Linked DNA regions of Callithrix jacchus. The protein of the gene in region 2 purifies or fractionates together with the protein of the main gene of each other region. This does not show direct contact. Links are inferred from orthologs where the notes say so. Each region holds a gene or a part of one and is shown on either strand. Other genes may lie near its edges.

Region 1 (4,198 bases), on a different chromosome or scaffold from region 2:
CCAGCAGCCCCGCGGTCTTGCCCAGCAGCCCCTGGATCTCGCCCAGCAGCCCCGCGGTCACGCCTTGTCCTTCACCTCTTACTTTTCTCTCCTACAGTGTCGGCCACAGCGTTTTACAAGGCACAGCCAGTAATCGAGTTTGTTTGTGAAGTTTTGGATTTTAAAAGTATTGAAGAACAACAAAAACCTCTGACAGATTCCCAAAGGGTAAAGTTTACCAAAGAAATTAAAGGTAATGAACTGTCCCGGCACACCTGGCTAAGGGCTGGGAGGCCCCTTCTTGGTCTGTCTCCTGGACGGCGTTTTGCAGTGCTGGGTCCTATGCACATTTAGGGAGGTGGGGGTAGCAGACTGTCGCCATCAGATGAAGTAGCACAGAGATGAGTTAGACCCATTTCCAGGGCAGGAGTAGGGGTTTCTCAAATAAATGCAACTTCGTGGGGTGAGGACCAGGTGGGGAATCGGTCACGTCCGAGTCATGAGGTCAGGACTAGATACAGCAGTGTGGCTGTGACTGGCGTTTCTAACACTGGAACCGAGGATGCATTTCCTTTGTTTTCATTTAATCCTTCTGCAGCCCCAGCAGGTGTCTGCACCCGCTCTGCCTGCTTTCTGTTCTAAGAAACTCACATCTGGGGGTCTAGGACTTACCGGGTTCCTTCTGTCCATCAGCAGCAGAGTGGGGGCTACCACTGGCTCCACAAGCCCTACCTGCTGAACCTGTCCTTTCCGAAGGCCATTTGCAGGGCCATCCACAGTACCCCGGGAGGATGTCCCAGGGAGGACAGCTAACCCAGTGACCCATGGGGGGCTCCGAACAGCACGAGGGTGGACACCCCATGCTGTAAGCTGAGCCTTTCCCTACCACGTGTACTCTTGTAGGTGAGATGGACCCAACTGGGTGGCCTGGGGGGTGACCTGTGGTTCATCCTTTCTAGGGGAGCCCTGCAGCCCTATGGAGCTCCCACAACTTGGGTCGGCAGCCACCTTCCTATAAAAATGGATTCTCGGGAAGTGGAGCTTGTGCTCAGGCTTGGGACAGCCTAGACCCTGATGCTGTGTTCTGTGTCCCCAGGTCTAAAGGTGGAGATAACGCACTGTGGGCAGATGAAGAGGAAGTACCGTGTCTGCAACGTCACCCGGCGGCCCGCCAGTCACCAAACGTAATGCACTCTTCCTTTCAGACTCTGTTGGCTGGGGTCCCTGCTGTCAATCCATTGGGCACACTTCGGAGCCATGATTCCCTGGAAAGGACCATTTCATTCTGTTTTTCAATCCCCAAAATTGTTCCTCACATAGCTCAGTAGGTTCCAAATTTCACCTAACAAAATAAACTCAGATCGTGAAATTTCACCTGGGTGCCGGGAGGGCAGGCCTGGGCGCTCTCTCCCTCTTCCTTCCTGAGCCTCACAGACGAGAGAAGAGTCTTCTGTGTTCTTTGTCCCATCCTGAGTGCTGAGGGTGGAGGGGCTGTGGCCCTGATGCACGCCCCTGTCCCTGGGCCAGCCTGTGTGTCCTGTCGTTATGGCTAGAGCACAGTTTGGTACCGAGGCTGGTGGAGGGATGAGTGCTGTCGGGTTGTACTGGTGTTCCTTTGTGAAGGGGACCATAGATTTGGCCCCAGTGCTCCACTTAATGTCTCCCAGGCCAGTAGGATTCATCCACTTCATGGATCATTCCATGTAAAGCGCCAGGCTTGTTGCCAGGCACCGGAGGCACCAAGATGCCCGTGGCTCAGGGAGCAGAGGGAGGAGACGGCCTGTAGCCTGGCCTGGCCCCCTCCCCCACCTGGCAGAGGCCACAGGTGGCTGGCCTGGCAGTCTGGACGGAGGGAAGGGGTTGGTATAGTGGAAACTGAGCCATGTGGTCCTTGCCCTGTGGCAGCTGCCCCATCCACTTGTCCCCACACAGAGGCCCACCCTTCCTGTGCCTGTAGGCCTCCCTGCACTTGCCCGTGCCGCACCCCACTGTCACCACTCAGAGGCCCTGGCTGCCAGAATAGGCATGGCCTGCCTTCCTCATCCTGTCCTGGGGGCTGCCGGCCCTCTGGGCACTGGGCGTGCGGCATGGAAATGGCCTCCAGGGTTACCATGCTCTCTGGAAGACGCACAGACCTTTCTTGACGGCTCTGTTCATCCTGACTCCTTGACACACACTGTGGTGTTGTGGGTAATTTATGATGATAGAGTAATGACGCATATAGGTAGTTTTTTATTTCCCAGCCCCAGAGACAAAACGCCCGGGAACATCCCAGATACCCCAGAGCACGTGATGCGTACTCATTCCTGGAAGTGCTCTGAACGTGTGCTCCTCACACCTCACCCTAAAAAGCAAATGATAGATGAAAAGCAGCGCCGGAACGGGGCCCGGGATGACCTCAGCCTGAAAGGCCCTTTGCTCCCCAGATTCCCGCTGCAGCAGGAGAGCGGGCAGACGGTGGAGTGCACGGTGGCCCAGTACTTCAAGGACAGGCACAAGCTGGTTCTGCGCTACCCCCACCTCCCATGTTTACAAGTCGGACAGGAGCAGAAACACACCTACCTTCCCCTGGAGGCAAGTCTTCCTCTCATGTGCACCTCTGTGGGGTTGGGAGGGCAGCCCAGGCTGGGGCATGCAGCTTCGAGAAACCGCCGCGGCCCCAGTCGGGTGCAAGTGGCCCCGCCTCTCCTGCTGTGGGAACTCGGGTGCGTTCATGAGCTCTGCTGCACCTCGGTTTTGCCTTCAGTAAAGTGGGGCGGGCAGCTCTCTGGAGGGTTGGCGTGAGCCTTGACTGAGAGTGTATGTGACGCTCCCGCAGGTCCCACAGGGGCTGCAGGTGCTCTGTCATCCATCACTGCACGGTTGCGTCACTCACTCTCTATCACAGCTGTTCCAAAAATCCTTGCCTCGGGAAAGGCTCAAACACCACTCTCCCCTGGGTGTATAGATTCTTGGCACTTGCCTGTCGCTCAGGCAGGGCTGGGTGGCTCCGGTGCCTTATCCCACAGGTAGACGTCCTTTGCACCTGTAGCCGCTTTCACACCTGTGGCCCTGAAGACTGGAGAGGGCCCAGAAGGGCCGGTGTCAAGACACAGCCCCGCTCGCCTAGTGGGCTGGCCACAGAGGCTGTGGGGTCCGTGGGGTCTGCGTGTTTGCCTGACGCTGGGTTTACTTAGCAGGTATTTCTGTTGTGAAGCAGAAGGCCATGGAGCAGGAGCCAGCCCAGCAGCGACCTGCCCAGCGCTTGACAGCCCAGGGATGAGGCAGAGACCGTCCCGGGCAGAGCCAGGCCACCAGCCCCTGAGCCCCCTGCCGGCTCCCCTGGTCACACCAGTGAGGCGCTGATGCCTGTCTCTGCGTCTTCTTTGCAGGTCTGTAACATAGTGGCAGGACAAAGATGCATTAAAAAGTTAACGGACAATCAGACCTCAACCATGATCAGAGCAACTGCAAGGTCGGCGCCTGATCGGCAAGAGGAGATTAGCAAGTTGGTGAGCGTCAGCCCCACGTGGGGCACCCCACGCCCTGAAGAGTCCAGTTCGGTTGCCCTGGCACAGAAACCCCTGATGCTTAGAATGGACGTGGCTGCTATAGAGAGTGGAGCCCCCCGCCCACTCCGTGCGTTTTCTTTCTTCCCTTTGCCAGATGCGAAGCGCGAGTTTCAACACAGATCCATACGTTCGTGAATTTGGAATCATGGTCAAAGATGAGATGACAGACGTGACTGGGCGGGTGCTGCAGCCGCCCTCCATCCTTTACGGGGGCCGGGTACGTGCAGGGCGTCGGGGTGTGTGGGGCTGCGGGGCCTGTGTCTGCCCGTGACCCCTCTGAGGTTCTGAGCTGTCACCCTCGGTGTAGACCATGTTGCAGTAGGAGAATCCTTTCTACTCCAGGCTGAGCCTGTAAAAAGCACGGGACTTAAAGGAATGACTTTCCTCAGACCTTTTTAAGGTTTTTCTGAATTATCCTTAATATTTTGAAAAGATAATTTGCATTAGCCCATGAAAGTTTAGAGAGCACCATTCTTTGTGTGATAGATGCTCATCAAGGATTGAATTACTTCCCAGAAGCCTGTGCCACTTTTCTATTCTCTAACTTTTGCTTTGGGGGTGTTTGGTAACAGTTTTTTGTCCTTACTAATTTAACTTCTAGGTTTTGTTGGGTTTTTTTTTGTTTTTTTTTGAGGTGGAATTTCGCTCTTATTGCCCAGGCTGCAGTG
Region 2 (4,967 bases):
ACAAACAAAATTAATTCAGACAATATAACTAGTCATTTTAAAAACCTTACTTTGCATTATTTTCCTCAACAAAGCATCCTAGGGGTGCCATAGTGAAAAATGTTCAAAGACCATTGCCACCTCTGTTGCTCTCGAACAATGTACATTCCTCAAGGTGCCCTCTACCAACCAAGTTCATCTGGCCTGGGGCTAAGTTTTGTCATTTATTCTTTCACACAGTACTGAAGGAAATCTGAAATCTATGAATGTAATTGTCAGCATCCGTACACATTTCAAACCAGCTACCACTGTCCTCTGAAATCACTCAAGCCAGGTTTCCAGGGTCTCAACTCATTCGCATAGTTATTCAATTCTAACTGCAGGCAATAACTGGCATAAAATAAGCCTTGCACAGGGTCAAATTACACGCAGGGATGCACAAGGCTCTCGCAGCGACCATCAATGGGCTACCTTGTACTGGCCGAAGTACATCAACGTGAACACCAGATACTCCAGAAAAACCGAACCTCGGCTACACAATGGATTAACCCAGTCAGGAGGCTCCAATTTGCAACTCCTCAAAAACGCTTAAGTTGGACATCTACAGAGCACCATTTTGAGTTTAGAATCCTCAGTTCACGCCTAGAAATAACCGAGCGGACCACTCAAATGGAGGTTTCATTTGGCGGAGGCAAAGGTTTGAGACAACTCCACTAATTACGTGCAGAATCACCAACACCGTCAAATGCCTTCGAAGGCACTAGGCGCAGCCACGATCTAGCGGCTCCTCCGCCCCTACCTCCCGGCACCACATCCAAGCAGCATGCCTTCATTTTTGCTACGATCTCCAAAGCTCTGTGTAACACGCACGCCAGTGATTTCTTCGCCAGGTTAACACGCAGGAAGCCCCCCCCCCCACACACACATTCACATCTACATATTTTCATAGCTACCAGCCAACTAGTTAAATCTCGTCCGCAAGGTAAAGGTGAGAAGAAGGCATCGCTTAAAGCAGAGGTGGCGACCAGGCGCTCGGGTTGCGTTATCAGATAACAGGGCACAAGTGGCTCGGCTCGTTTTCCTCTAACGCATGACTCCGCAGTCCGCGGCACCGTTAGAAAATCCACCTGATTTCAGACCCACAGAGCGCCCAAGGGTCCTTCTCCGCCAACCCGCAGCACGCCCCGGTTTCTCTCGTCCCCCAAACAACGACACTGAGCTCCTGCGCCGAAACGCGGCGGGCTCGTGCCTGCCATCGTCAATGCAAAACCTGCGGGTGGCTGCCGGGAGAGGACCGAATTTCACCGCCGCTTGAGTTTTAAAGAGGAGGGGGCACATCCATCCTCAGCCCTCCATTCCGCTCCCGTCTGATTGTGCTGCACGCCGGCCGTCTGCACAGCCCAGTCTCACACTCGCGCACACGCGCCCCGGCCCCGGCCGCTTCCCGCCGCTCCCCTCCAAACCCGGCCGGCCGGGGGCCCGGCGCCGCACGCGGGTCGCTCGGGGCCAGCGCCCGCCCCGGCTCCCCTCGGCCGAACAAAGGGCCCGCGAACCTCCGGGCAAAGTTGCGGCGGCGGCGAGGAGCCAACGGGCGGCCACGCTCACCTGGGCTCCGTCCCGGGCAGTGGCGGCGGCGGCTCCGCGGGGCTCCGGCGACGCGGGCCTGGCGGCGGCGGAGACAGCAACACGAACAACCGCCCAAGGGCCTCGGGGGTGCGCGGGCGGCGGGGGCTCGCTCAGCGCCGGCGCCGCGGGCTCAGGTCCCGGCGCGGGCGGCGGCGGCGGCGCGGGCGGGTGGGCGGCGGCGCGTCTCGGCAGGTCCAGGTCCGGCCCCAGCGACGCCGCGACGCGTCCTCCTCACGCCCAGCGGGACGAGGCTCCGGCGCGGCCCGGGTCCTAGGCGGCGGCGGTGGCAGCTGCGGATGGCTGGGCGAGGGGCCGCTCCGCTCCCTCCGCCTCCGGCTCGGGCGGGCCCGCGGCGGCGGCTGCGGTGAGGGCGGCGGGAGCGCGGCGGGCGCGGGGACAGCCCTGTCAGGGGGCGGCCCGGGCGGCGCTCAAGGCTGCGCGGCGGCGGGGCCGACGGCGGCGGCTGCTGGTCCCGGGGCCGTCGCTCTGAGGTGCGGAGCTGCCACCGCGGCCATCTTGTTGCTCTAACTGACAAGAACCCCCCTCCCCCCGCTACAGCCAGACGGGGCGCTCGCGCCCCCTTCCCCGCCCCACGTTGGCCTCCAACAGGAAGTCGTCCCGGCCCCTGGCACGTGACTCCCACTGCATCTGCATACCGGAGGGCGAATTGGCCAATTGGCGCTCGGCGCTTGAGCTCCTCCCCCGCGCGCCCCTCCCCGGTCCATTGGCTCTTCGGCCAGGCCACGCCTCCTCCTTGCCACCTTAATACCCACCCGCCCGCGCTGTGGTTGCCTACACCGCGCAGGGAGCGCGCCGGGGTGCGAGCGGCGCGTTCTCCGCCTGTCCCGGAGGCGCGCCAGTCCTGGGAGCTCGCTCTACTCTGTGGGGTGCGTGGAGACCCGCGTGGTGTCCTTCGCCGCCTCCGCCTGCCCTCTGGTCCCTGGGCGCTGTGGCTCCGCGTTAAGGGTACTGGCGGGAGGGGCGCCGACCGGGATCTGCGCCTCCGCTGGGTTCTCCCGGCCAGCGCCCTGCGGCGCCCGGGCTTTGCGCTGTTATTTCGCCTAGCGGCGTTGGCATTCTCTGCGACGGCGCCCGGCGCCCGCACCGGCGCGCGTCCCGCTCGTGCAGTGCACACGCCCCGCACTGCCCCACCTTCCACACACACGCACACGAGTCCGTAGGGTCCCCGGAGCCTCCTGCTCACCCCGCGCCTGCCGGCCCGCCCTTGCGCGCAGTCGCTCCCCAGGGAGCGCCCAGCTGCGAGCAAAACAAGCCTCGCCGCAAAACAGTGCCCCGGGGAGTCCGCCCTTTCCCCGGAGCACAGACACCCTTCCCCCACCGCGCGAGCCTTCTGTCCGGGCCGAACCCGGTCGCTCCGGCCCCTACGCACCCCGCGATTCCTCCCCGGTGCTCGGGGCGCCGCCGTGATCCTCCATTCCACGGCTCCTCCTCGATATCCATTATTCATTAGTGGTAGGTGAGGTCACGCTCAATGTGCAATTCGAAAAGTCCGTTTTTAACTTTCGGTTCGAGCCAGGAGAAGATTTTGAAACCAAGAATTCTCTCCATTTTCATGCAAGGTCGCAGAAGCAGGCTAGCTTTTCCCCCATCGCTCGGAGGAGGTTCAGCGGTGCTACTTGGAAGTTGTTATTGGAAGAGGCCATTCCCTGTCTACGTGTCCCCGTCTTGAAGAGGAGATAATAACACACTAGTACTTTCGCAATGCAATTTTGTTACCGCAAGTGTCATGCTTTGAAACGTCTGTGGATGAAAGACAAATTCCTCGCTCTCGTTTCCCTTCGGGGTCCCATGAGCTCCTTTCTTCTTACTGCCGTATTTTCAGCCCTCTGGTAGTTAGATTCACAAGGGTCGTCAAATGTCTGCTGTGTTGTGTATTTCCCCTCCCAAGAACCCACATCCCTTAGAAGGATCTGAAGGCAGACGGAGCTGGCATGGAGGCTTCTTCTGCCTGTTCATTTTATGTGCATTCATTTAATTCTCGACTGCGGAGAACCTGCCTCCTTTGTATTTCTCCAAGGTAGAGGTATTATCACATGTTCCAGAAGGGAGTGCAAAATAACATCGTCACAACAGGCAGCGCCCACGAAGTAGGCTGCTACGTAAATGAGGACTCCAGGTATCTTGGTGGACCAATCCTTGTGATAAGCAGAACTTCACTTTTTGGAAAACTGAACCAAGATACATTATTTAGCATTGTCTTTGACTTTGGAGTTGTGGTTCTCACCTCTCCAGTTCCTCTCCGCTTCCCTTTATCCCTCAGGCAAAAATCGTCCTATTCTCCAATGATACTAGACTCTGAGCACCGAGAAGCAGAACTCTAGATGTTATATGTTCTGAACCCCAAACCGGACTCATAGTTTGGCATGTGGACCTGGGGCAATAGAGAGAATATTTGAAACTGAAGCTGACCCAGAGACATTGAGGCATATGGTGGCCATGAATCTTAAGACTGCAGAGCAGCGTCACTAATTAGCGGTCGTTTGCACTGATAAAATACGAGTAGGAACGCCAAGCAAAACTGTAAAATGGGTCCATTCATGTTTGGGGTTGATCATCCTCTTATTAGCCCTGCCACCACCACCTTATAACTAAGGTATAAATTGACCATCTATTAAAAATGGGCAAAACCAACAAAATTATGTTTACGAGAATTCAATGTTAAATGTATCTCTTAAGTTAAAATGTCAGCTAATTGAGGACAAATGAAGAAGACCTAGCTGGAGACAAGGTCATGTAAAAAATTCTAGTTTTAGATGACCACATGCTCAACAAAGCTAAATGTGTGAAATGGTTTGTTTAAAACAATAACAACAATAACAACACCACATTACAATAGTGTCCAGTTTGGCTGGGCGCACTGGCTGATGCTTGTAATCTCAGCACTTTGGGAGGCCGAGGTGGGCGGATCACCTGAGGTTGGGAGTTTGAGAGCAGGCTAGCCAACATGGTGAAATCCCATCTACTAAAAATACAAAAATTAGCCGGCGTAGTGGCAGGTGCCTGTAATCCCAGCTATCTAGGAGGGTGAGGCAGGAGGATCACTTGAGCCTGGGAGGCAGAGGTTGCAGTGAGTTGAGACTGTGCCATTGCACTCCAGCCTGGGCAACAAAAGCGAAACTCCGTCTCAAAAATAAATAAATAAATAAAATAGTGTTGAGTTTAAGATATTGTACTCTGAGCTGGCCAGATCCCAAATGGAGTATTTTGGCCAGTTCTGGGCACTATGGTGCGAGAAAGAAATTGACAAAGTTAGAGACTGACTGGGTATACAGCCAGTTGTTGGTGGAAATCCTCCAGTCTTTGACCAACAGCTGAAGCAGCAGAAGAGATTGGGGCAGGGA
Region 3 (4,198 bases), on a different chromosome or scaffold from region 2:
ATAATAGTAAAAACATACGTTACATCTTCAATAAATAGACTGTTACATCTTTAATAAATGTATTATTATTATTAAAGATGTTAAGAGTCAAACTGTAGCCAAAACTTGCCCCTTCCAAATGATGTTTGGCTTGATAGTACCTTCAGTTTAACTAGTAATAAAGTATTTGAGATAGAATTACTCCTTCCTTCCACACCCTCCACCCTAATCTTTGATTGATAATTTTTAAGATAGTGTAGGGAAGAAACAGAATTGTGAACAATCTTGATGCTTCTAGGAAAACTAAATTTAGAAGCATAAAGTCATGAGAAAATATGGTTAGAAATCTCAGGCGTGATCCAGATTCGTCAGAGTTACTATGCTGTGATTTTCAAGAAGAATTTTGGCTTAGATACACCTGAGCTTGGGAGGGAAAGGCCTAATTAGCCAGCCAGCCATTATCAAACCTTTGTAAAAAAAAAAAATGATAAAAGACTTAATTCCTGCCTTAATGGAGACCAGGGTCATAGAAAAAAGACAAATGAAAATTAATATAATTCGGCGTATAACGGTCATCTTAAATCAGCAAAAACTTCAGGAGGAATAGCCACCACTAAGAAAGAATAAGTGCTGAGGTGGTACACGCCTGTAATCCCAGCACTTTGGGAGACTGAGGCGGGCAAATCAGAAGGTCAGGAGTTTGAGACCAGCCTGGCCAAATGGTGAAACCCCATCTCTACTAAAAATACAAGAAATTAGCTGGGCATAGTGGCAACCGCCTATAGTCCCAGCTACTTGGAAAGCTGAGGCAGAAGAATCACTTGAACCCGGGAGGCAGAGGTTGCAGTGAGCCAAGATCACATCATTGCACTCAAGCCTGGGCGACAGAGCGAGACTCTGTCTCAAAAAAAAAAAAAAAAAAGCACTGAAAGCCCTTGTCTCCTTAGTGATCAGAACTCTGGGATGGGCAAGAAGCAGAGCAAAGGAGGCTCATGTCTGTAATGCCAGTGCTTTGGAAGGCTGAGGCAGGGGGATCACCTGAGGTCAGGAGTTCGAGACCAGCCTGGCCAACATGGGGAAGCGCTGTCTCTACAAAAATTAGCCAGGCGTGGTGATACATACCTGTAATCCCATCTACTCGGGAGGCTGAGGCAGGAGAATTGTTTGAACCCAGGAGTCAGAGGTTACAGTGAGCCAAGATCATGCGACTGCACTCCAGCCTGGGCAACAGAGCAAGACTTCGTCTCAAATAAATAAATAAATAAATATTCAAGATGTCCTCCTGAATGGATGTTTAGTCTCCAGAGCTCTGCATGCTTTCATACTCTAAATGGGTGCTACTATTTAGAGGGTCCTCCACCATGAGGATTCTTAGGATAAGTGAAAGGTAATCTGCCAATCAAAATGTGATTTTTGGAACAGCAAGATTAGTGCTTGCAAATAAGACATTCTGTCAAAAAATTCTTCCGTTTATAGAATGACAGTTTTTTTTTTTAATTTGGAAAAGTATTTGTTTATATCTGTAAGTTCTAATGAAAGGTACATTTGTATCCTAAAAAGTAAGAAAGATCTCCAGTCTCTCTAATAACTATTAAAATGAAGGCCATAGCATGCTGTCAAATTGATTTTCAGCTAGTAGTGTAGTGGATGAACACAATCAGTTGATACAGACTTTATTCTGGTTTTTTTTTTTTTTTTTTTTTTTTTGAGAAGTGGTATCGCTCTGTCGCCCAGGCTGGAGTGCAGTGGTGTGATCTTGGCTCATTGCACCCTCTGCCTCCCAGATTCAAGGGATTCTCCTGCCTCAGCCTCCCGAGTAGCTGGGATTACATACATGTGTCACCACACCCAGCTAATTTTTGTATTTTAGTAGAGACGGACTTTCACCATGATGGCCAGGCTGGTACAGACTATATTCTTATACATATACTTATATTAATTTTTTCAGGTAGACACTTAGCAATTCTTTTTACAAAGTGCTCTCTGGCAAGTTTCAATTTTTTAGATTGTGAGAGCAATGAAAAATCTAGAGACTATATAGTTTTTTGTGACTGTGACTTAATTAATTAATTTATGGTTTTGAACACGTCAGTACAACAGTATAATTAAGATCCTACATTAGGCATCTGAAAACAATTATAAGTAATGTTTATATTTTCTCTACAGTCTGCACCCTCTCTCTTTCTTAAAAGCAATTTTGAGTACTTAAGAGGTAATTATCGAAAAGCGGTGAAGCTATTGAATAGTTCAAACATCGCTGAGCATCCAGGATTCATGAAAACAGGTAAAAGAATATTGTGAAATTTTAAGTTTTTTATCTTCCTCTTCTACCCCTTCTTACTTGTGCACCTCCCAACACCCAGTCTTTCAAGTAATTTATGCTAATTTTTCTTTTTCTTTTTTTTTTTGGCTCTATATGCTCTGATTCTTTTCGGGTAGGGAACGGAGTATCACTCTGTCTCCCAGGCTGGAGCGCAGTGGCGCAATCTTGGCTTACGGCAACGTCTGCCTCCTGGGTTCAGGCGATTCTTCGGCTCAGCCTCCTGAGTAGTGGGATTACAGGCGTGCAGCACCACACCCAACTAATTTTGTATTTGTAGTAGAGACGCGGTTTCTCCATTGTTGGTCAAGCTGATCTAGGCCTTCTTACCTCAGGTTATCTGCCCACCCTGGCCTCCAGAAGGACTGAGATTATAGGTGTGAGCCATTGCACCCTGCCATATGCTAATTTTTCAATGAAAATACTTTAATATTTCTGCTGCAAAAAAATTCCGGAAATTCTTGTCTCTACTTTAGAAGAAACCTCATTACTTCTTGCTTTTACTTTGCTTTCTTTCCTTTTTTTAGATTCTTTTCCAGATTGGATCGCTTTTTTCTTTTCCTTTCCTTTCTCTTTCTCTTCTTTTTCTTTTTGAAACAGGATCTTGCTTTGTCACCCAGGCTGGATGCAGTGCTACAATCACAGCTCACTCAGCTCACTACCTCCTGGGCTCAAGCGATTCAATCGCCTCAGCTTCCCAGGTAGCTGGGACTGTAAGAATGTACCACCATGCCTGGCTTATTTATTGTAGAAACAAGGTCTCACTATGTTGCCAGGCTGGTCTCAAACTTTTGGGCTCAAGTGATCTGATGACCTCTGTCTCCCAAAGTGATGGGATTACAAGCGTGCCACTGTGCCTGACCCAGATATCTTTTCTTTAACCCAACTTGCTCTTTTTTTTTTTTTTCTCGAGACAGTCTTGCTCTGTTGCCCAAGGTGGAGTGCAGTGGCACGATCCTGGCTCACTACAACTTGCACCTCCCGGGTTCAAGTGATTATCCACCTCAGCCTCCTAAGTAGCTGGGACTACAGGCATGTACCACCACACTCAGCTGATTTTTCTGTTTTTTTGGTACAGTCTGGGTTTCATCATGTTGGCCAGGCCAGTCTCAAACTCCTCACCTCAAGTCATCTGCCCACCTCAGTGTCTTAAAGTGCTGGGATTACAGGTATGAGCCACTGCACCTGGCTCTTTCATTTGTTTTTATAAGGTCCTTGGACTTTTGCTTTGTGACCTTTTAAGTAAATAATATAATGTTCTTAACTTTTTTCTGCCATAAAGGCAGTTAATAATACGATTTTTTTCAGTAACTTGCCCAATGAATAGGACTTCTTTAGATCATTAACTATATCAAAAAATCTTTCTATAAAGCTATGAAGATAAGTGTTATTACATATTCTTACCTCTATTTAGAAAGTCTTACAAATCCCTTAATATTAATGGTAACATGAAAGTAAAAATTGTGAATGTCATTTAGGTTTATATCATTACTATTTTATGGAGCAGGAGAAGGAAAATCATTTATTCAAGAAATGAGGATAAACTATTGAAAATGTATGTTTTGTCTCAAGTTTAAAATGCAAACTACATGGTTTTTGGTTTGTTTTGGATTCTATTTAGATACACACACGAGTATACCTGCAAACACACTCAGACCTTCCCCCATTTACCCTTTCAGTTCACTGGAGTGATGGAGGATGGAGAAGGGCACTTTGTTCCTTATAATTCTATTGAGGGTATTCTTTCTTTTCTAAATACCCATTTCTAATTCTGCTCAATTTTAGTTTTTTGTTTTCATTGTTGTAGTTTCTCCTCACAGTCCACTTGGCCGAGCTAGTCTCAAACTCTTGACCTCAAGTGATTCACCCGCCTGGGCCTCCCAAAGTGCTGGTATTACA
Region 4 (4,198 bases), on a different chromosome or scaffold from region 2:
GGGATTAGAGGTGCCTACCACCGGCTAATTTTTTTGTGGTTTTAGTAGAGACAGGGATTCACCACATTGCCCAGTCTGGTCTTGAACGTCTTACCTCAGGTATCTGCCCGCCTCAGCCTCCCAAAGTGTTGGGATTACAGGCATGAGCCACTGCGCCCGGCCTCTGTGATATTTCTTTAATTAATTAATTTTTTATTATTTAAAAACTATATGTATAGTATAAAAAAATTCAGGTATTACAAAAAGAATAGCAGTGAAAAATGTCTCCTTACTACCCTGGTCTCTAGTCCCCCAGTACCATTAATTGTTGCCATTCTTTTTTTTTTTTTTTTTTTTTTTCCTGAGACAGAGTCTCCCTCTGTTGCCCAGGCTGGAGTGCAGTGTTTCCATTTTAGATCACTTCACCCTCCGCCTCCTGAGTAGCTGGGATGACAGGCAAGCAATTCTCCTGCCTTAGCCTCCTGAGTAGCTGGGACTATAGGTGCCTGCCACCATGCCCAGCTAATTTTTTTTGGTATTTTTAGTAGAGACAGGGTTTCACCACGTTGTTGGCCAGGCTAGTCTCAAACTCCTGACCTCAAGTGATCTGCCTACCTAGGCCTCCCAAAGTGCTAGGATTATAGGTGTAAGCCATTCCTGACCAATTGTTACCATTCTTTTTTTTTTTTGAGATGGAGTTTCACTCTGTCACCCAGACCAGAGTGCAGTGGTGCGATCTCGCTCACTACATCCTCTGCCTCCTGGGTTCAAGCGATTCTCCTGCCTTAGCCTGCTGAGTAGCTAGGATTATAGGCACTCGCCACCAGACCAAGCTAACTTTAGTATTTTTTAGTAGAGACAGGGTTTCACTATGTTGCCCAGGCTTGTCTTGATCTTCTGACCTCAAGCCATCCCCCCACCTCCATCTCCCAAAGTGCTGGGATTACAGGCATGAGCTACTGTGCCCAGCCAATGGTTACCATTCTTGAATATGCTTCTAGATACTTTTCTACACATATGCAGGCATATGTACATATGTAACATTTTTAAACACACAGAACATAGGGTTCTTTATACATTGTTCCATACTTTGCATTTTTCCACTGAATCAATATATTTTTGAAGATGTTGCATACCAGCACATATGGATCTGCCTCATTCTTTTGCATAGGTTGAGTGGCTGTAATATAACTTATGTAATAAATCTATTGAGGAACATTTTAGTCTAAATTCTGCTACAAAAATGAAACTGTTGAATATTATATAGAGATACATTTTTGCACTCAAATATGAGTGTATTTATAGGATAAATTGTTAGAAGTGAGACTGCTGGCCTGATACATTTCAGAGTTTTCAGATATTGCAACATTTTTTTTAAAGGTAAGTTGTACCCACTTATGCTCCCATCAATAAGGCATCAGAATGTCTGATTCCTATACCTACACCAGTGTAATAGTTCAGATTTTTTTGATCTTTGGCATTCTGATCTTGGTCTAATTTTAAATTGTATTTTTTCTAATAAGGGAACTTGAATATATTTTTATATGTTTAAAAGTAATATATGGAAGGAGCATTTTGAGTGTAAGAGGAAAGGAGAAAAATTGATGCCTGCACATATAAATATGTTTGTGTAGGTATCTGAGAACTTGAGGTTGGCCTTGTGTACTATCCACTGCTTTTTTCAGATATTAGAGCTGCTTCCTGATAGGAGACAGGAATGGGTTCTGGAGTTAGAGGATAGTGGAGAAAGTTCTTCATAGTCTATATGGTCTAGGAGGCATAGAAGTAATCAGGAACATGAAAAAGATTGCTAGGAGGCAGCACTGAAGCCTAATTGGGATTGGCACCACATGATCACAATTGCTTCTAATACACTGTTTTGAGTGTTTTAATCCAGTAGTGTATAAGAGCTTTGATTTAGAAACTGTGGAGGTCAGTTGGTTAGATAAACTGGAATTTTGAAGGAATAAATGTACACCCTGGGGTCTAAGTGTCAGAGAACAGGAAGTAAGAGATGTTAAGAGATGAGATTTTTCTTCCAGTTTGTTTCTATTTCCAGTTCAGATCTCTTCTATCTTTTTTGCTTATCAGATCTGGGATTGGAGATTGGAGCAGCCTAGATTCTGTTCCTCATTTTATTGTTTTAACTTATTTTATTTTATTTTTTTTACGGAGTCTCACTCTGTCACCTAGGCTGGAGTGCAGTGGTGTGATTTCGATTCGCTGCAACCTCCGCCTCCCAGGTTCTCTGAAGCGATTCTTCTGCTTCAGCCTCCTGAGAATCTGGGACCACAGGCATGTGCCACCATGCCCAGGTAATTTTTGTATTTTTAGTAGAGACGGGGTTTCACCATATTGGTCAGCTGGTCTTGAACTCCTAACCTTGTGAACTGCCCGCCTCAGGGTCCCAAAGTGCTGAGATTACAGGTGTGAGCCACCGCAGCCGGCCTGTTTTAATTTTTTGAGACAAGATCTGGCTCTGTCACCCAGGATGGAGTTCAGTGGCATGATCTTAGCTCACTAACCTCTGCCTCTCAGGCTCCAGTGATTCTCCCACCTCAGCCTCCTGAGTAGCTGGGACTGCTGCACACTACCATGCCTGACTAATTTTTGTATTTTTTGTAGTGACAGAATTTCTCCGTGTTCCCCAGGCTGGTCTCAAACTCAGGAGCTCAAGCGAACTGCACACCTTGGCCTTCCAAAGGCTGGAGTGCAGTAGTGTGATTATAGCTCACTGAAATCCCAAACTCCCAGCCTCAGGTAATCATCCTGCCTTAGTCTCCCAAGCAACTGGGACTATAGGCACATGCTATCATACCCAACTAATTTAAAAAAATGTTTTTCTTTTTTAATACGTTAGGGTCTCACTTTGTTGCCTAGGCTAGCCTTAAGCTCCTAGGCTTAAGTGATCCTCCTGCTTCAGCTTCCCAAAATACTGGGATTACAGGGTGAGCCACCATACCTAGTCCTATTCCTGATTCTTCGTAGACCCTGGAGTCAAACCTTTCTCCCTCCAGCCTCCCTCTCTTCTCAGAAGGCACTCACACCAGTCTTTCAGGTCCATTAGAACCTTAGTGATCTGAGGACCAGCAGCGTCACTTGGGAGTATGTTAGAAATGTAGAATTTCAGGCTTTACTCTAGACCTGCTGAATCAGAAGCTACATTTTATTTTAATAAAATCTCCAGGTGATTCATAGGAATGTTAAAGTTTGAGAAGCACCGTCATAGAGTAGATGTTAGGAGTAAATATAATAGATGGGACATTGCCTGGACTTTGAATTACTTCCAAAAGCTTGAAGTGGTGGTAGTCTCTCAGCTTCCACAGGCCACTCCTATCCCCCACAGGGAAGTGGTGGAATACATGGTCCAGCATTTCAAGCCTCAGATTTTTGGTGATCGCAAGCCTGTGTATGACGGAAAGAAGAACATTTACACTGTCACAGCACTGCCCATTGGCAACGAACGGGTAAGGCTGGGAGTCAGGCTAGGCCTGTGTCAGGGGTCTGGGGTAGAACCAATCTCATGTAAGCCTCTTTGGAGTCTGGTGGTCCAGAGATCCTTTTCATCTTTTGTGCTGAGAAAGTATGTTTTAGGGTGAGGGGTGGGTAGGTGCTGATGTTTATTTAGTCTGTCATGTGCCTGTCTGTGTCCTAAACCGATTGAGATTAGACTTAAAATAGACCTAAAGGACTTCCTGCTAGGCTGAGAGGTAGTTGAGAGGAACAGAAGCACTGAACCAAGGTGGCTAGAACCTAAGGGCCTGGACTTACTCTGGAGTCTGCATTATAAGCCCCTATCAACTTGAAGAGTATATTCTCAGCAAATCCGTGGAGTCGGGTTATTCTGGCAGAGCAATGGCAATCCTTCACCCCTTTCTCTCACCCTCCTGAAGGTCGACTTTGAGGTGACAATCCCTGGGGAAGGGAAGGATCGAATCTTTAAGGTCTCCATCAAATGGCTAGCCATTGTGAGCTGGCGAATGCTGCATGAAGCCCTGGTCAGTGGCCAGATCCCTGTTCCCTTGGAGTCTGTGCAAGCCCTGGATGTGGCCATGAGGCACCTGGCATCCATGAGGTATTGGGTGTAGTTAGTATCTGGGCTACTAGTGTTGGCAGAACTGCTGTCAGGGGAGGAGGGGAAGCACATGCTAAGGTCCCACAGTGTGCCATTCAAAAAAAAATTATTTGAGCCCTACCACTTGCCAGGCAAGTGCGTATT
Region 5 (4,198 bases), on a different chromosome or scaffold from region 2:
AGGTATCAGACCTTGCTCTAAGGTCTAGGTTTGGAATAAGCAGTAAACAAAAACATTACAATACATCAGGTGTCAACTAGTACTCTTAAGAAAAATACTGGCGGGGAACGGTGGCTCACACCTGTGATCCCAACACTTTGTGAGGCTAAGGTGGGTGGATCACCTGAGGTCAGAATTTCGAGACCAGCCTGGCCAACATGATGAAACCCTGGTTGGTCTTGAACTCCTGACCTCCTCTACTGAAAATACAAAAATTAGCCGGATGTGGTGGTGGGTGCCTGTAATCCCAGATGCTTGGGAGGCTGAGGCAGGAGAATCGCTTGAATCCGGGAGGCAGAGGTTGCAGTGAGCCAAGGTCGTGCCATGGCACTCCAGCCTGGCTGACAGAATGAGACCACCATCTCAAAAAAAAAAAATTGTTGAGTAAGGAGGTTGAGGTAATGAAAGGTGGGAAATGTTGCTGTTTAGTTTGGTTTTATAGTGTTTTGTTTTAATCTTTTTTCCTAATGACTCTTTTTGAAACAATGTTGCTGTTTTAGATAGTTGGTCAGAAGTTCCTATATTTGAATAGAGACTTGGATGCGGCATGAGGAAGGGAAACAGAGGCAGAGCCCCTTGCCTCTAACTCATCCTTGGACTATGTCCCTGACCTTCTGTTGTAATCAACTGAGCCATTACCTATTCAGCAGGGTCATTGTGAGGATAAAATGAGATAGAGTTTACAAAAATACTGTATAACACATTAAACAAACGTAAGACAGTATTATCAGTGTCTCTGTCACTAAGATTGACTGGTTCCTAGCCCTTTGCATCAGTTGCTCCTAGTCACAAAAGCCAAGCAGGAAAGGATCAAAGCTGAGCCATGCGTGTTCAGTCCCTGAGGGGACTCAGTGCCTGAGCCCCTCCACTCTGAGTGTCTCTGTTGTTTTTGTCCCATATAGGGCCATGCCACTTCATTTTTCGGCCCAGCCTTGGAGCGCTACTCATCCTTTCAGGTCAATGGCAGTGATGACATTCGGCAGATTCAGAGCCTGGAGAATGGTATCCTTTTTCTCACCAAGAACAACCTCAAGTATATGGCCCGTGGGGGCCTCATTATATTTGATTACCTGTAAGTGGCTTCTCAGCTTTAGACTGGGAATGAAGATACCTCGTAGGATGGGAAGGCTAAGGGATTGGCAGCTTGTAAAGCCTGGGCCCCTGAGCCTTTCCTCTCCCCAACAGGCTGGATGAGAATGAGGATATGCACAGTCTCCTACTGACTGACAGCAGTACTCTACTTGTTGGTGGGCTGCAGAATCACATACTGGAGATTGATCTTAACACTGTCCAGGAGACCCAGAAGGTATAAGCCTAGGACAAGAAAGACCTATGCAGGGTCTGAGGCTGTTGAGGGAGCAGGGTTATGCTTGGGCTGGTAATGTGTCTGAGATGTGGATATGACCTTTCTGTTCCTTTGGTTTTTGGGAAAAATCAATCTTCTCACTGGTTTCTCCTGCTTCCCTCTCCAGTATGCAGTAGAGATGCCGGGAGTCACCATTATGAGACAGACAAATCGCTTCTTCTTCTGCGGCCACACGTCTGGCAAGGTGGCCAACTTCTATTTCTCCTCCCACTGCAGGGCCCTGTTTCAGTAGATACTTGATTGGGATCTGTTTTCCCTTAACTCTTTTTATTTATTATTATTTTTTATTTTTTGAGATGGAATTTCACTCTTGTTGCCCAGGCTGGGGTGCAATGGTGAGATCTCGGCTCACCACAACCTCCACCTCCCTGGTTCAGGCTATTCTGCCTTAAGCTCCCAAGTAGCTGGGATTACAGGCATGCTCCACAACACTTGGCTAATTTTGTATATTTAGGAGAGACGGGATTTCTCCGTGTTGGTCAAGTTGGTCTCAAACTCCTGACCTCAGGTGATTGGCCCACCTAGGCTTCCCAAAGTGCTGGGATTACAGGCGTGAGCCACTGTGCCTGGCCTGCTTTCCCTTAACTCTGGGGTGTAGCTGGATTGGAGATGAGGATGAGTGGAGTGAATTCACTTCCTACTCAGTGATGTTATACTCTGAGATTATTTTGCAGCCTGATGTTTTCTGTGATAATGAAGTGCCCTGGAGGCAAAAAGGGTAAATGAGTTCTCTCTGGAGCCCCTTCTGGCTCTGGGGTTCTCTGTTTACCTTTTCTGTGCTCTAAGAGTCCATATCCTCTGAATGCCCTTTCTGTGGGGAAAAAGAGTCCATATCCTAAAGTTTTAGCTCCTTTGGTAGGGACCCCACTAGGTTAGGTAGGTGGCAGTTATTTTTTTTCTGATAACAGAATTTGCAGATAACTGATTTTTTTTTTTTTTTAAGGTTTCCCTGAGAGACCTTCGTACTTTTAAAGTAGAGCATGAGTTTGATGCCTTCTCGGGGAGTCTGTCAGATTTTGATGTGCACGGCAACCTGCTAGCTGCCTGTGGCTTCTCCAGCCGCCTCACTGGCCTGGCCTGTGACCGTTTCCTCAAGGTGTATGATTTGCGCATGATGCGTGCCATCACACCACTTCAAGTACACGTAGATCCTGCCTTCTTGCGCTTCATTCCTACATATACTTCTCGTCTTGCTATCATCTCTCAGTCAGGTATGAAGGGTAAATGGGATTGGGTAGGAGGAATCGATGAGCAAAGGAGAGCTAGAACCTGCAGTACTCTTCCTGAAACCTCTTTGTTCGGGAAAGAAGTAACCTTTCATCAGAGTCCCAGGGTTTCACTTGAGTTTGGCCAGAGATTAGAACTTTTATTTTCTTGAATGTGAGGACTGTGGAAAAAGGTAAAGTAGGCAAAATTACTGTAGAATTACTGTTTGATGAATAGCAAACCATTGATGGTTTATGGGAAGGCATCAGGTGGCATTCTGTCTCTAGGCATGGATTTGGGGCCCATCTTGCCCTGAAATCAGGGGAAGAGGATAGGAAGGGTGTAAGAGTATGGCTCTCTTTCACTTTCTAGGGCTCAGTGGGTTTCTTCCTCCTTTGCAGGGCAGTGTCAGTTCTGTGAACCCACAGGCCTGGCCAACCCAGCAGATATCTTTCATGTGAATCCTGTGGGGCCTCTGCTAATGACATTTGATGTGTCAGCCAGCAAGCAGGCTCTGGCCTTTGGGGATTCTGAGGGCTGTGTGCATCTCTGGACTGATTCCCCGGAGCCTTCCTTCAACCCCTACTCCCGTGAGACTGAGTTTGCTTTGCCATGTCTCGTGGACTCACTGCCTCCTTTGGACTGGAGCCAGGACCTGCTGCCTCTTTCCCTCATCCCTGTTCCGCTCACCACTGACACACTTCTCTCGGATTGGCCTGCTGCCAACTCTGCTCCAGCTCCCAGGTTGTACCCTACCTCTGGGCCAAAAGGTGGGAAGGAGGGAGAAAGGGCCAAGATATCAGAATTCTTTGCTAGCCTTGTTACTATTCTACTACTTCCCTGATTTTTGTCTACCTTAAGTATTTTCTTTTTTTCTGGACCCTTGGGGATTGGGGAGTGGAACGGTATACACCACAACCCTTTAAGCCCTAGAACTATACTGGATTGTAGGCGAGCACCACCCGTGGATGCAGAGATTCTGCGCACCATGAAGAAGGTGGGCTTCATTGGCTATGCACCCAATCCCCGCACCAGGCTACGCAATCAGGTGTGTTCAGAGTGGAGGGTCAGCCCCTACCCTAGCTCACTGAAGTTTACCCTGTCTTTTTACTGTACTAGGTAAATGCTTTTTGGAACCTATCAAATTGATGGAACTATGTTAGGGTCCTTGCTCTTAGGAAATTAATATTTGGTTGGTGAAGGTAAGACATAGCCATATCAGAAATTATGTTCTGTTGTTAAATACTGAAGGAATAGGGCCGGGCATGGTGGCTCACGCCTGTAATCCCAGCACTTTGGGAGGCCGAGGCAGGTGGATCACGAGGTCAAGAGATCGAGACCATCCTGGTCAACATGGTGAAACCCTGTCTCTACTAAAAATACAAAAAATTAGCTGGGCATGCTAGTGCATGCCTGTAATCCCAGCTACTCAGGAGGCTGAGGCAGGAGAATTGCTTGAAGCCAGGAGGCGGAGGTTGCGGTGAGCCGAGATCGTGCCATTGCACTCCAGCCTGGGTAACAAGAGCGAAACTCTGTCTCAAAAAAAAAAAATACTGAAGGAATGTTATAAGCATTTAGTGCCAGAGC

What was found.
Region 1: the proteins of TNRC6C (region 2) and AGO2 purify together in Homo sapiens (co-immunoprecipitation; 6 studies listed by BioGRID and IntAct, with this or other methods). This does not show direct contact. The link is inferred for Callithrix jacchus from reciprocal best matches to the Homo sapiens genes TNRC6C and AGO2.
Region 3: the proteins of TNRC6C (region 2) and CNOT10 purify together in Homo sapiens (co-immunoprecipitation; 3 studies listed by BioGRID and IntAct, with this or other methods). This does not show direct contact. The link is inferred for Callithrix jacchus from reciprocal best matches to the Homo sapiens genes TNRC6C and CNOT10.
Region 4: the proteins of TNRC6C (region 2) and AGO1 purify together in Homo sapiens (affinity purification with mass spectrometry; 5 studies listed by BioGRID and IntAct, with this or other methods). This does not show direct contact. The link is inferred for Callithrix jacchus from reciprocal best matches to the Homo sapiens genes TNRC6C and AGO1.
Region 5: the proteins of TNRC6C (region 2) and PAN2 purify together in Homo sapiens (affinity purification with western blotting; 3 studies listed by BioGRID and IntAct, with this or other methods). This does not show direct contact. The link is inferred for Callithrix jacchus from reciprocal best matches to the Homo sapiens genes TNRC6C and PAN2.

What each region holds. Positions count from the first base shown.
Region 1 is NC_133517.1:56,982,437-56,986,634, forward strand, and holds part of AGO2 (protein argonaute-2), read left to right. Parts: intron 1-97; coding exon 98-232; intron 233-1,075; coding exon 1,076-1,163; intron 1,164-2,405; coding exon 2,406-2,553; intron 2,554-3,350; coding exon 3,351-3,470; intron 3,471-3,624; coding exon 3,625-3,747; intron 3,748-4,198.
Region 2 is NC_133506.1:133,746,301-133,751,267, reverse strand, and holds the start of TNRC6C (trinucleotide repeat-containing gene 6C protein), read right to left. Parts: upstream 3,311-4,967; 5' UTR 3,067-3,310; coding exon 2,996-3,066; intron 2,687-2,995; exon of another isoform or gene 2,379-2,686; intron 1,703-2,378; exon of another isoform or gene 1,585-1,702; intron 1,254-1,584; exon of another isoform or gene 933-1,253; intron 1-932. UniProt on the Homo sapiens protein: Plays a role in RNA-mediated gene silencing by micro-RNAs (miRNAs). Required for miRNA-dependent translational repression of complementary mRNAs by argonaute family proteins.
Region 3 is NC_133518.1:70,901,135-70,905,332, forward strand, and holds part of CNOT10 (CCR4-NOT transcription complex subunit 10), read left to right. Parts: intron 1-2,145; coding exon 2,146-2,263; intron 2,264-4,198. UniProt on the Homo sapiens protein: Component of the CCR4-NOT complex which is one of the major cellular mRNA deadenylases and is linked to various cellular processes including bulk mRNA degradation, miRNA-mediated repression, translational repression during translational initiation and general transcription regulation.
Region 4 is NC_133508.1:72,475,211-72,479,408, forward strand, and holds part of AGO1 (protein argonaute-1), read left to right. Parts: intron 1-3,325; coding exon 3,326-3,446; intron 3,447-3,872; coding exon 3,873-4,054; intron 4,055-4,198.
Region 5 is NC_133510.1:63,314,490-63,318,687, forward strand, and holds part of PAN2 (PAN2-PAN3 deadenylation complex catalytic subunit PAN2), read left to right. Parts: intron 1-941; coding exon 942-1,111; intron 1,112-1,224; coding exon 1,225-1,345; intron 1,346-1,511; coding exon 1,512-1,589; intron 1,590-2,348; coding exon 2,349-2,616; intron 2,617-3,012; coding exon 3,013-3,355; intron 3,356-3,562; coding exon 3,563-3,659; intron 3,660-4,198. UniProt on the Homo sapiens protein: Catalytic subunit of the poly(A)-nuclease (PAN) deadenylation complex, one of two cytoplasmic mRNA deadenylases involved in general and miRNA-mediated mRNA turnover.